2 linked regions of the Caenorhabditis elegans genome follow. The protein of the gene in region 1 purifies or fractionates together with the protein of each later gene. This does not show direct contact. Each region holds a gene or a part of one and is shown in the gene's direction. Other genes may lie near its edges.

Region 1 (5,253 bases):
AACATTTTATGTTTACCATAACCACAAAAACATATACATAAGTAAAAAACAATCAATTGTTTTATCTCGTAGTGGGTTTTTATAGGTATACTTATATTATGATCACTCAAATAACAGATAGAGTTTGAAAACAATTTGAAAATATGTTAAATTGTCATTCATTTTTCAAACTTTGTCCAATTTGATGAAATGTGATTTGAATGCCTTATTTTTAGGTTCAGAAACAGTTTTGTCCTCAAGAAAACCGTACTACGTTTTCACATTCATAACTTTGAAATTCGTTCCGATAGCGTTCCGCTAATAAACAAGAACTCTCAAATGTCTCTGATATATAACAAATCTGAAAAGTATTAATGCACTTCCAAAAGGTAATCTTTATCTTTGAAACATCACATTTACCCATCTAGAAGTTTGTTAATTCTGTTTCTTGTCAGCTATATGAATTGATTCATAACGGATTTTGTCCGCCTTTTATATATCTTCTCATAGTTAATCTAATCTTCAAATCGTGAAAACTCTTTTCATATAACACATTTAGAAATCCAGCCGATGGAATAGGAAAATAGTATATATATATATATATATGGATATGGATATATAAGTGTTGCGAATGTTTAATATTCTCTTTTTTTGAAAAGTTTGTTCGATTGTTGAACAAAAATGTTTTGCTTTTGCTGTGAGTTTTAATAATTAGTTACTTCATAGTCCTAGTAGGAATTCTGAACGTATCTGAAAGGGCATTGAAGGGGCGTGAACTTTTTGGAAAGGTGATCCCTCGTCCTGTTCCCTGTTTGTCTGTCCCCTGTCCTCACCTCCTTCGTCTTCTTTTTCTGTCGTTTTATACTTCTCTTTGCTATGCATTCATGAACAGATAATCCAATTTGAGGCTGAGGCCTGCGTGTGTATGTGTGTGTATGTGTGGAGGCCCTCCAACGAAGAAAGAACAAAACTTGGCAATCTTGAGCATATTGGATAAGCTGCCCGCTGAGTTGCTAATTGTCAACGTTTGGCACAAACGCCACATAGAGCCATCTCGGGATGGAAAGGGAGAGAAGACTGGTTGGGGGAGAAAAGAAGGGTAGAGCCTTTGGAGCATTTTTGTGTTTTGCGGGCGTTGCTCCATCCCTTCGTCGTTTTCTCCACCCTGCGTTTGCGCATCAGTCGCCACACGCCGCTAGCCCCCGAGTCCTAAACCCCTCCCTCCCATCTACACACATCCATTTATTTATTAGAAGAGCTCTGAGTAAAACATGAACTATTCGCTATCCGTGGCCTTGTTTTATTCATTGCTTATATCGCATTCGCCCGGGTTTTCCTCCTGGGCGCGCCTTGTCTTTTTTCTTTTCCTCCCGTTTCACCTCCGTTTTTCCTTTCGCCCTCTTTCTCTTTCCTTACGGATACGGGAGGCTCCCCCCACCCCTATCTTCAAACCTTGTCTTTTTTCCGTGCTCAGGGAAACGAGCATGAATTCATTGTCTCAAATGAATGTCTCCTTTTGTGCATCATTAATCTTGCATCGAATTTTGCTTTTTATTCTTACATGCTTTTGTCCACTTTGCACAAGCTGTCCATTTTTTGTCAATTCAAACATCAGCTTGAACCTTTACCTGTCCATGGTTGGCCTTTTTTTATGGCGAAACCTGGCGAACCCAATATCCATCACCCTTCTATTCCTTTTCTTTTCCCGTTTTCCTTCGCTTCCCACTTCCCCACCTCCTACGCTTATTTCTTATTCCTTTCCCGTTTTAGTGCTCTCTTTCTCTTTTTTGCAAAAAGTTCTTGATAGCAGTAAAGAAAAGAAGAGGAAGACTATTTTTGGATGTCCCGAGTTTCCCACGGTATTCATCGACGTCGTCGTCGAAAATGACCACATCCAGTCTTACTGGGCGCTCATGTCTTGGAAAAGGCGTCATTTTTCAACGTTTCTAATCCCGGACGCTCTTATTTTTCCTCTCTCGGTTTCCCCATCTTTGACGCTGTTCTTTTTTTGTTTCAGCGTTGATCCTGTTTTCTTGTTGGCCTTTATTGACATACAACTCTTAAACCGAACAAATTCGTTTCTATTCTTTCTATTCGGATTGTTATCGCGCTTTAGTCTTTTTATACGCTATGATTTCACATGATGCAATAACTCCTTATTACCTTAAAAATCAAACTTCAGTGCCTCATTAAATATAATCATGGACGATCCGTCGATGATGCCGGATTTATCCCATTTATCTGCAGAAGAACGTGAAATAATAGAAAATGTGAGTTGTTCCAGCACGAACCCCCTCCCCCCCCCCCCCCCCCCCCATCGTTCATTTTGCCCATCCGTCTGCTTCTTGTGGGGTTCAAAAAAGTAGTTGGTGCGGTGTGAGTCCTCTGTCTCGGAGCATGACGGGCCCCCCGAGGGGTGAAAGAGCGAGAAAAGGGGAGGGGTATTACTTACAACGCCGTGAGCACACGCAAAATAATGGATATGCAATCAAACGAGTGTGTGCTCTTATGTACATTCGACAAGAAAATTGGCATGATATCATGCGTGCACATACATATAGAGAATACTCACTCAGAACGCTCATGATTTATGTTTTTTGCAGGTCTTCAAACGACAAAAAGATGAGGAGGCAAAAGAAACACAAATATCACAGTAAGAGTTTTGTAGACACATAATTGCATTGGTATTTCTTCATGCGAATGATTTTCCAGAAAAGCATCTGAAGAATTGTCAGAGTTAGACAAACAGATCACGGAGCGGAAAGAAACATCGAAAAAGCTGGTTGGCACACAAGATGACGCGATCTGTCAAATCTGTCAGAAGACCAAATTTGCGGACGGAATTGGTACGTTGTTCCTTTTCCTGAAGAAGCGATGAGAGCAAAGGGTCCTTCTGTCGCCCTGAGATGAGCCTCGTTTTCTGTTCCTAGTAATTCTCTCCGCGGCGTCAGAGAGCCCCTAACCCTTGGCTGTCATCGTCTCTCTAAAAGGACATCAATTTAGCACAAGATGAGAGGTTTTTCAGGCCACAAGTGCTTTTATTGTCAATTGCGTAGCTGCGCCAGATGTGGAGGTAGAGCACAGAGCAAAAATAAGGTACGAGCGGGAGTGAAAGTGTGGGATGAAATAAGGGGAAACATGAAAGAGAAAGGACAAATTCTGGATGACTGCATTTGAATAACAGAATAAAAACCAATTTGAGCAAAATCGACTTGAACATTTTTGCGATATGATGTTGCAATGTTTATATTTTCACAAAAAAAATCTAAACTTTACAATTTATTATAAAATCATGTTTAATTTTATAGTTAATGAATCTAATTTGGAAATCAAGCGAAATAATCGTTTTTACATCTAAAAAAATACGACAGAAGCTGAAAAACAATAGCATCCATTGTTTGCAAAGTAGTTTGGAATAAAGAGATAAATAGAAAGTATTAGCCCCGTGGGTGCACCGACCGATAAAAAAGTAGAGAAGTGAATTGAAGAGAAGAAGTAAAAAGCTTTCAGGCAATCTGGGCTTGTTCGTTGTGCCAGAAACGTCAACAAATTCTTGCCAAAACAGGCAAATGGTTCCAACCCGAAGAGCAGCCGCAGCCGAAAATTAGCGGCTCCGAGCCAAGCCCTTCGCCCCAACCACTAACTGACGACAACGTACCAGAACCGCAGCAGAGGCGAGCAGAGCCGCCTGATAAAATGTGAGTTTCTTCCGGTTTCTTTTACTTTTCCAAGTTTGTGTTTGATTGTTACATGTTCCTTTGAAGCGTTAGTTTCAATCAATCACAATTCAGACTAATTTTCATATTTTCAGGAACACTCCAAATTATCAAAACAACCAACAACCCCGTGGAATGGGAATGCAGCCAAATCATAATCAAACTCAGCAGAATTTCATGAATCAGAACCAAAATTCAAATCAACATCCAAATCAAAACCACAATCAGAATCAAATGCAGAACCCGCATCAAAATCAAAATCATGTTCAAAATAATCATCAAGGAGCCAACAATCATCAACAGAATAATCGAAGAGCTATGCAACAACAGCCAATGAGTCAAAATCAGGCAAATCAGATAAATCAGATGAATCAAAACCAAAATCAACAACAGAGCCACAATCAGAATATGACTCAAAACCAGAGAAACCAGGTACTTGAAGTTGGAAAGTTCCACGATTATTTCAAATTCTACATGTAAATAATTCAGACTGGCCCCCAAAACCAACAAAGGACAAATGACTCTCGAACTATGAAACAAACGCCTCAACAGCAGCCCAGTCAGTATCAAAACAACGTAGGCGCGGCACATCAACACCATAATCAACATGGACAACAAGAGCAGCATCATCAACGTAAGAGCCTCCAGGGGTATAAAAAGAGAAAGTGAAAAACAAAACAAAAAAGTGTTGTGCGCTAAAATTGCGAACGAGACGCAAATTGATATAGTCTGGATAATTTCAGAAATGAATGAACAACGGACGGATAACAACAGAATGAGAGAGAATACTAACGGGCAAGGAGGAATGTTCAATAGGCAGCCGTCATTAGAGGTGAAGGGATCAGGGATATCAAAAACGAGCTTTTGAAAAAAGATTGAGCAGCTTATTATTAGGGTGATACTTCTGTAAAAGTAATGAACAAATGTGAAGAATCATCTAGAGCGGAAAATTTGGTCAGAATTACAGTACTGTCGTACAAAGTTCAGAGTAGAAAAATATATTAAAATGAAAAAAAAAACGAAATTGTTTCTAATTTAGCAAACTACGCCCATGAACAAATACAATCACGTTGAGGATGATGGCATGAACCAGCGGTAAGTATCCCATAAAGTTTAAAAACTTGATACCCACTTGCTTTCAGACCCACGTTCTACACTGGAAATTCCGAGAATGACCAAAGACAATTTGATGGCCAAATGCAACAGGGCTCACAACAAAATAATCAGAATCAGAACCAAAACAACCGAAATCTTAGAAAAAACACAGTCAGCCGGGTAACAGAGGAGGATTATGCAAGTTCGTCAAACTTCGAATCTAAGAAACGTAAGATGATATCATATCGATAATACCTTGCTAAATTCTATTTTGAGAATCAATTTCAGAGCGGAACAACTCTTCACAGAGTCAGTCCAACACGCAAGGCGTGCGAGCATGTCCTTCTACTGACGACCATTTGAACCGGGTGAAAAATCGATTGCATAGGTGAGCAAGTGTAATTTGGCTAATGGAAAAAATAGACAAACTCAATTGAGTAATGTCTTTTTTGTACTAAGTGCT
Region 2 (5,097 bases), on another chromosome or scaffold:
CCATCTCAAGCCCCGTATCTCGAGAACGGTGATAGCTATTAAAAAGTTGTCAACTGATAGATAAATGTGTAAAATTTTGAGAAGAATAATTTTTGGGTTAGAAAATTTTTTAAAGGATTATTGTTGATGGAACTTTTTTTTTCAAAAAGTTCTAATCAGCAAAACAACGTAAAAATACACTTTTCACCTTAAATGTTTCTGCAATAAATATTAAATCTCTTCAATCCCCAGATTTTCCTACTTTTCCTGCGTCTCTCCAATCTCTTCTGGTTCAATGCCAAAAGCTCAACTACTCGACGCACTCCCTAAAAGAGAGTTTGAGAAAGACAATGGAGACGCAGAGAAAAGCTCTTTTCGGACTCTCACCACCCCTTTTTCTCTATCTTTTTGCCAAAAACGTAGTACTATGGACCACCGAAATTGAAGGGGGGAGAGACCTTTGCGCAAGTCGTTTTATTTTTTCTCTTTTTTTTGCTTTTGTTTTATTAATAGGCGTTTACAGTGTGGAGAGTGGGTGAGGAGGCAGAGAAGACAGTCTCGTTGTCTGCGTCTCTCTGCTGTATATATGTATCTGGAACGGTTAGAGCTTAGAAAATAGAGTAACAGAGAAAAAAGATCAGAATGTTGAAAAATCCCAATATACTTTTTTTTCTTTTTTCAAAAAAACCCCTGTCCTCCAATAAATCGTAACGTTTGCAATTTTCCGTTCCATTTGTCATCATTGAACATTGAAAGAAACACAAAAAAAACGCACTGAGCGTACTGTTTTCGTCTTTTCTATCCCTTTTCCCCGACACTTTTCTCTCAATTCCCTACAATTTTTGTGTCTTGGCGTCAGAGTCAAGAGTTTTGCCTTTTTTTTAAAGTTTTCTAGTATGGAAAATTTAAGAAAACATATGTAAGATTGCTGAATAATAATTTAAAAAAATCGAAAAAAATGTTTTTCGAATAGAAAACCAAATTTCTCACTTTACTATCTTTAACCGTTCCAGAGATACACGCATTTTAGAGCATAGTGCGGTGAGAGCGTGGTGGAGGGTGAGACGCAGTCGACGAGACAACCTGCGTCTCCCCCTCCTCCACACACTTTGCACTCCTCAACTTTGAACCCCTATATCTCTAGAATGGTAATAGCTACCAAAAAGGTTCCAACAGACAAAATGTGCGAAATTTTGTGCTTAACAGTTTGTTAGTTAAAATGTTTTTGTTAGCCGTTTTAGTTTTGAAGTTATACTCAGTTTTCTGAGGCGGTACCGAAACTTTTCTGGATTTTTCCGTACAAATTAAGAATAAACATATTCTGTTAATTGGGGAAATTATTATTCAAAAATTTAACCAAGACTCCGCCACTACAGTCCCCCTCCCCTCTCCTCTGTTTTCTTCATGCTTATCCGCGCGCAATCCGCCTCCCCTTCCTTTCTCTAACTCCTCTTACTCTCTCATTCCTTCTCCCTGTTTGTCAAACCATCTAGGTCTCTTCTTCGTCTCTTTATCTCTCGGCTCTCTTGCTTTTTGGCTCTTTCTCTCCTCTCCGCGCACCCCGCGCATACATTGACTTACACAAGACATTTGCTGCTTCCGGCCGGACTTTTTGAACGATTTTTTTTGGTTTTTGGGTTATTGATAGTGGAAAATTTGTATTCTGAAATTAGGAGTGAAAAGTTTAGCGGGAAATTTGAGTATATTTTGAGAATAAATTTCGAAAAATAAAAATTGAAAGTTGTTTTTTTTTCAAAATTTCCAAATTTAACCAATATTTCCTCATATTGTTTTAATATAATTTTTCTCCTAACTTTTTTCTCTTCTCCTCAATTCTCAAAAACTTCAAAATTTCAGTCAAAAACTGGATCGAGGCGGCGGCGGGTGGTACGGTAACGGCTTGGACGCCGAGTGGTCCTACAACGAACACGTACCCGGACCATCAAACTACCCGGAGCAGTACAATATGGCACCTGGTGAGTTTTTAGAAGATTGCAAATTTTTGCAAATTAAACAAATTTCGCTCAAAAAAAATTTTTTTTGATTTTTTTTTCGCCAGAAAAGCATGAATATCTCAAAAACTGAAAACTCTATTAAAAAATTTATGACTAACTAATTGTAGATCACAAAATTTCACACAGTTTGTTAGTTGATAACTTTCTCATATCTCCAAAACTCGCAGAGTTATGCCAATTTTTGCAAAGCTTGTTAAAATTCCAAATTTCAGTGTGCTCCAATGTTTAACCGAGGAGGTTTTTGCTAAAAATGTGCAATCTCTTGAAAAAAAAAGTGTGTTGATAAAAATTTGGAAAGAACATTTCAAATTTCCCGCCAATCGCAAAATGTAAGGGCGCTCTAATGCAAAAAGAGTTGAAGCGTTTCGTTAAATTTGGCACAACCTTTTTGAAAAATTCTACAACAAGTGCGCTCCAAAAAGAATTTTCCAATTTTTCGTTTCAGGTCCCGCACCATACAGCAGCCGAACATCGGTGATGAATTCCAGTGGCCGAAACCCGATGAATTATCCATCAGTCCCACCCCATACATCCATATCCGCCGCGTCGAGGCGCCCACTGCAACGGTGAGTAGCTTTTTTAGGGATAAACTGAGGAAAATTTAAGACCAAGCACAAATTTTCTGTCTCCCAACGGGCCTACAGCCTGCCCCTCGAAGACCAACTACTCTCGAGGCCTACCTAAGAACCATCCAATTCCAGGCAACACCGCTCGATGGACGGCCTTGGTGTCCTGGACGCCTACAAAGACTCCCTAGACTACGATATGATGCTCCAGCCGTCTCCACCGAAACCTCTACATCAGCCATCATACCTTCCATTGGAGATATCCACAAGTCAACATCACCATCCACCACATCACCACCCAACACAGTTCCAGCGTGGGCAATCGCTGGCGTTATCGAATCCGATTCCCACGCAGAATGCGTTCTGGCAGCATAATAATAGGTTAGTTAGGGGTGCCGGGTATTCGGGGAGGTCGACAGCTTCTAAAGTCGCCGGGTTGTCGGTAAGGCTGCCTGGTAGACAAAAAGTAGTCAGTGTGCTTGTCATTAGGGATGCCAGGATCCTAAGAGCCTTTAGTGTTGTCTAATTTGTATTGGTTGCCCATCAGAAGCCAGTGGCGTTGTCAATTTCCTGACTTGGTTGCCGCCTAAACTAGATCCCAGTTTCTATAGTGCTTGTCGGACAGGACCCTGCCGTCTTCTAAATCATCCATTAGGGCTTTTACCTTTCTTCCTATACCGTTTCTTCCTCCCCCTCCAGTTAACACACCACAAACGACACAAATCTACGGCTCCAAGACCCCACCCTAACCTAATTTAATTTGCGGGGGGGGGGGGGGTGGTGCTGGTGGACCCTCCGAAAACCAACATTTTTTAGTTTTTGTTCTTTCAGTTGAATTTCCTCCAATTTTTAAAGAATTTGCGGGTTTTTGCTGCTCCTCATCTCTCATGGGAGTATAATATGCATGTATATATATATATTTTTTTGCACACATTGACTGCTGCTGACGTTCTCTTCCGAAAAAAAATTGGGGGCTCAAAACAGATGAATTTTAAGTGGGGTGGGGGAGCTCTGGAGATTCAAATAATATTATGTAATTTTACTTTGAACTGTTATATCGTCGAGGAGGTTAGAGGTACAAAAAAATTTTCCACTAACAAATTATGCTGTTTTTAATTTTGAGCATTTTGTTAGTTGACAAAAACTCGTATCGTTAAAGGCAATAAAGTTAGATCCGAAACAGCCTCTGCCTTTTCACTTGCCTTGCCTACCTGGGATGATACGATGGTCTTCAATCCCTCTTATCTCCTAGGTAAGAATAGATACAAAAATGTAGTCAACATGGAAACTGTGCAGTTTTTAATTTTGAGCATGTTTCCAGTTTACAACAAATTTTTATGTTTTTTTAAATGTTTAATAGCTAAAAAGTTATAGCGTTTGAAGGGCAACACCCAGGGCCAGAGCATCGGTAGAAACTTGTGTAATATTACACGCGGAAGACTTTTTTCCTCAATTTTCCAATATTTCAGCATGGCCACCACATCAGTCCAAGACTACGACCTAATGCAACCAGGCATATCCCGAATCCCCACCGGCACTGGAAGTGGCCTGAACATCGCGAGAGAGTACGAGCAGCTGAAAGTCGAATACGACACAATGATGGAGAAGCTAAATCAGACTATGAATAGTATCAAAACGTTTTGGAGTCCCGAGTTAAAGGTAATAGAGCTACCGTAGTGTATGATTAGCTATGTGAAATTGTTCCAGAGGGAGAGGCAAATGCGGCGTGATGAAGCCACTCGGATAGCGCAGCTGGAGAGGATGGTTCAGTCGGGAGGAGGTGGCGGTAATGACTACGGCCTAGGTTCTAGCGAAGGTAATTTAGGTGTTTTTTTTAAAATAAGCTTCAAAGCCTGCAATTAAATTAAGTTAATTTAAACGCTTGTTAACCCCAAGCGGATGACAAGTTAAAACAAAAGGGTCCCAGGAGTTCAATGTTTCTGAAAAGGTCAAGATCTTGGTTCGAATGAAACCAACACCTTAGAAGCAGAACAACGCCCTTAAGATCCTAAAAACATAAAATCCTCTGCTACCAGGGTCATGGACTTTTTAGGCTACCGTCAAGTAAGCCTTGGCTGTGCTTTACCCCTTACCGATTAAATCTGTAAGGCTCTAGGGTACCCATGTTTTTGTAGGTTTCCTTATGGTTAGGGCCACCTGGCCTAGGAATCTCTTACACAGTCTTCATTCTTTCAGCGCTACAACTCCGAATGGAACTCCGAGAACGCGACGAACGCATTCGCCAACTCACCACAGCTTTAGAATCCGGCTCCGGTGGCATGGACGGACGGATTCGAGAGCTAGAGGATACTATTATGAGGCTTCAGGATCTTCTAACAACCAAGGAGACGCAATCTATGATGGCAAGTCAGGATCCATCAGGCCGGCAAGCTATCGAAAACGCGCTTCGGAGGATCGATGAAAAGCAGGCGAGGATCGTGGAGTTGGAGGAGGAACTGATGAGGCAGCGGATGGGAAGGAGTAATCAGCCAAGAGATTTTACTGATAAGAACCTGTCCGGTCATGAGATGGCGACG

What was found.
Region 2: the proteins of unc-10 (region 1) and elks-1 purify together in Caenorhabditis elegans (affinity purification with western blotting, with the first as the bait; one study listed by BioGRID). This does not show direct contact.

What each region holds. Positions count from the first base shown.
Region 1 is NC_003284.9:7,277,229-7,282,481, reverse strand, and holds the start of unc-10 (Rab-3-interacting molecule unc-10), read left to right. Parts: upstream 1-2,159; 5' UTR 2,160-2,180; coding exon 2,181-2,249; intron 2,250-2,398; exon of another isoform or gene 2,399-2,537; intron 2,538-2,582; coding exon 2,583-2,632; intron 2,633-2,691; coding exon 2,692-2,825; intron 2,826-2,879; exon of another isoform or gene 2,880-2,964; intron 2,965-3,004; coding exon 3,005-3,075; intron 3,076-3,489; coding exon 3,490-3,677; intron 3,678-3,790; coding exon 3,791-4,127; intron 4,128-4,184; coding exon 4,185-4,329; intron 4,330-4,438; coding exon 4,439-4,527; intron 4,528-4,734; coding exon 4,735-4,790; intron 4,791-4,837; coding exon 4,838-5,019; intron 5,020-5,078; coding exon 5,079-5,178; intron 5,179-5,253. UniProt on the Caenorhabditis elegans protein: Regulates the efficiency of a post-docking step of the release pathway. Acts after vesicle docking likely via regulating priming. May regulate the conformational changes in syntaxin.
Region 2 is NC_003282.8:3,346,767-3,351,863, reverse strand, and holds the start of elks-1 (ELKS/RAB6-interacting/CAST family member 2), read left to right. Parts: upstream 1-1,836; 5' UTR 1,837-1,945; coding exon 1,946-1,955; intron 1,956-2,439; coding exon 2,440-2,560; intron 2,561-2,695; coding exon 2,696-2,941; intron 2,942-4,029; coding exon 4,030-4,219; intron 4,220-4,267; coding exon 4,268-4,376; intron 4,377-4,756; coding exon 4,757-5,097.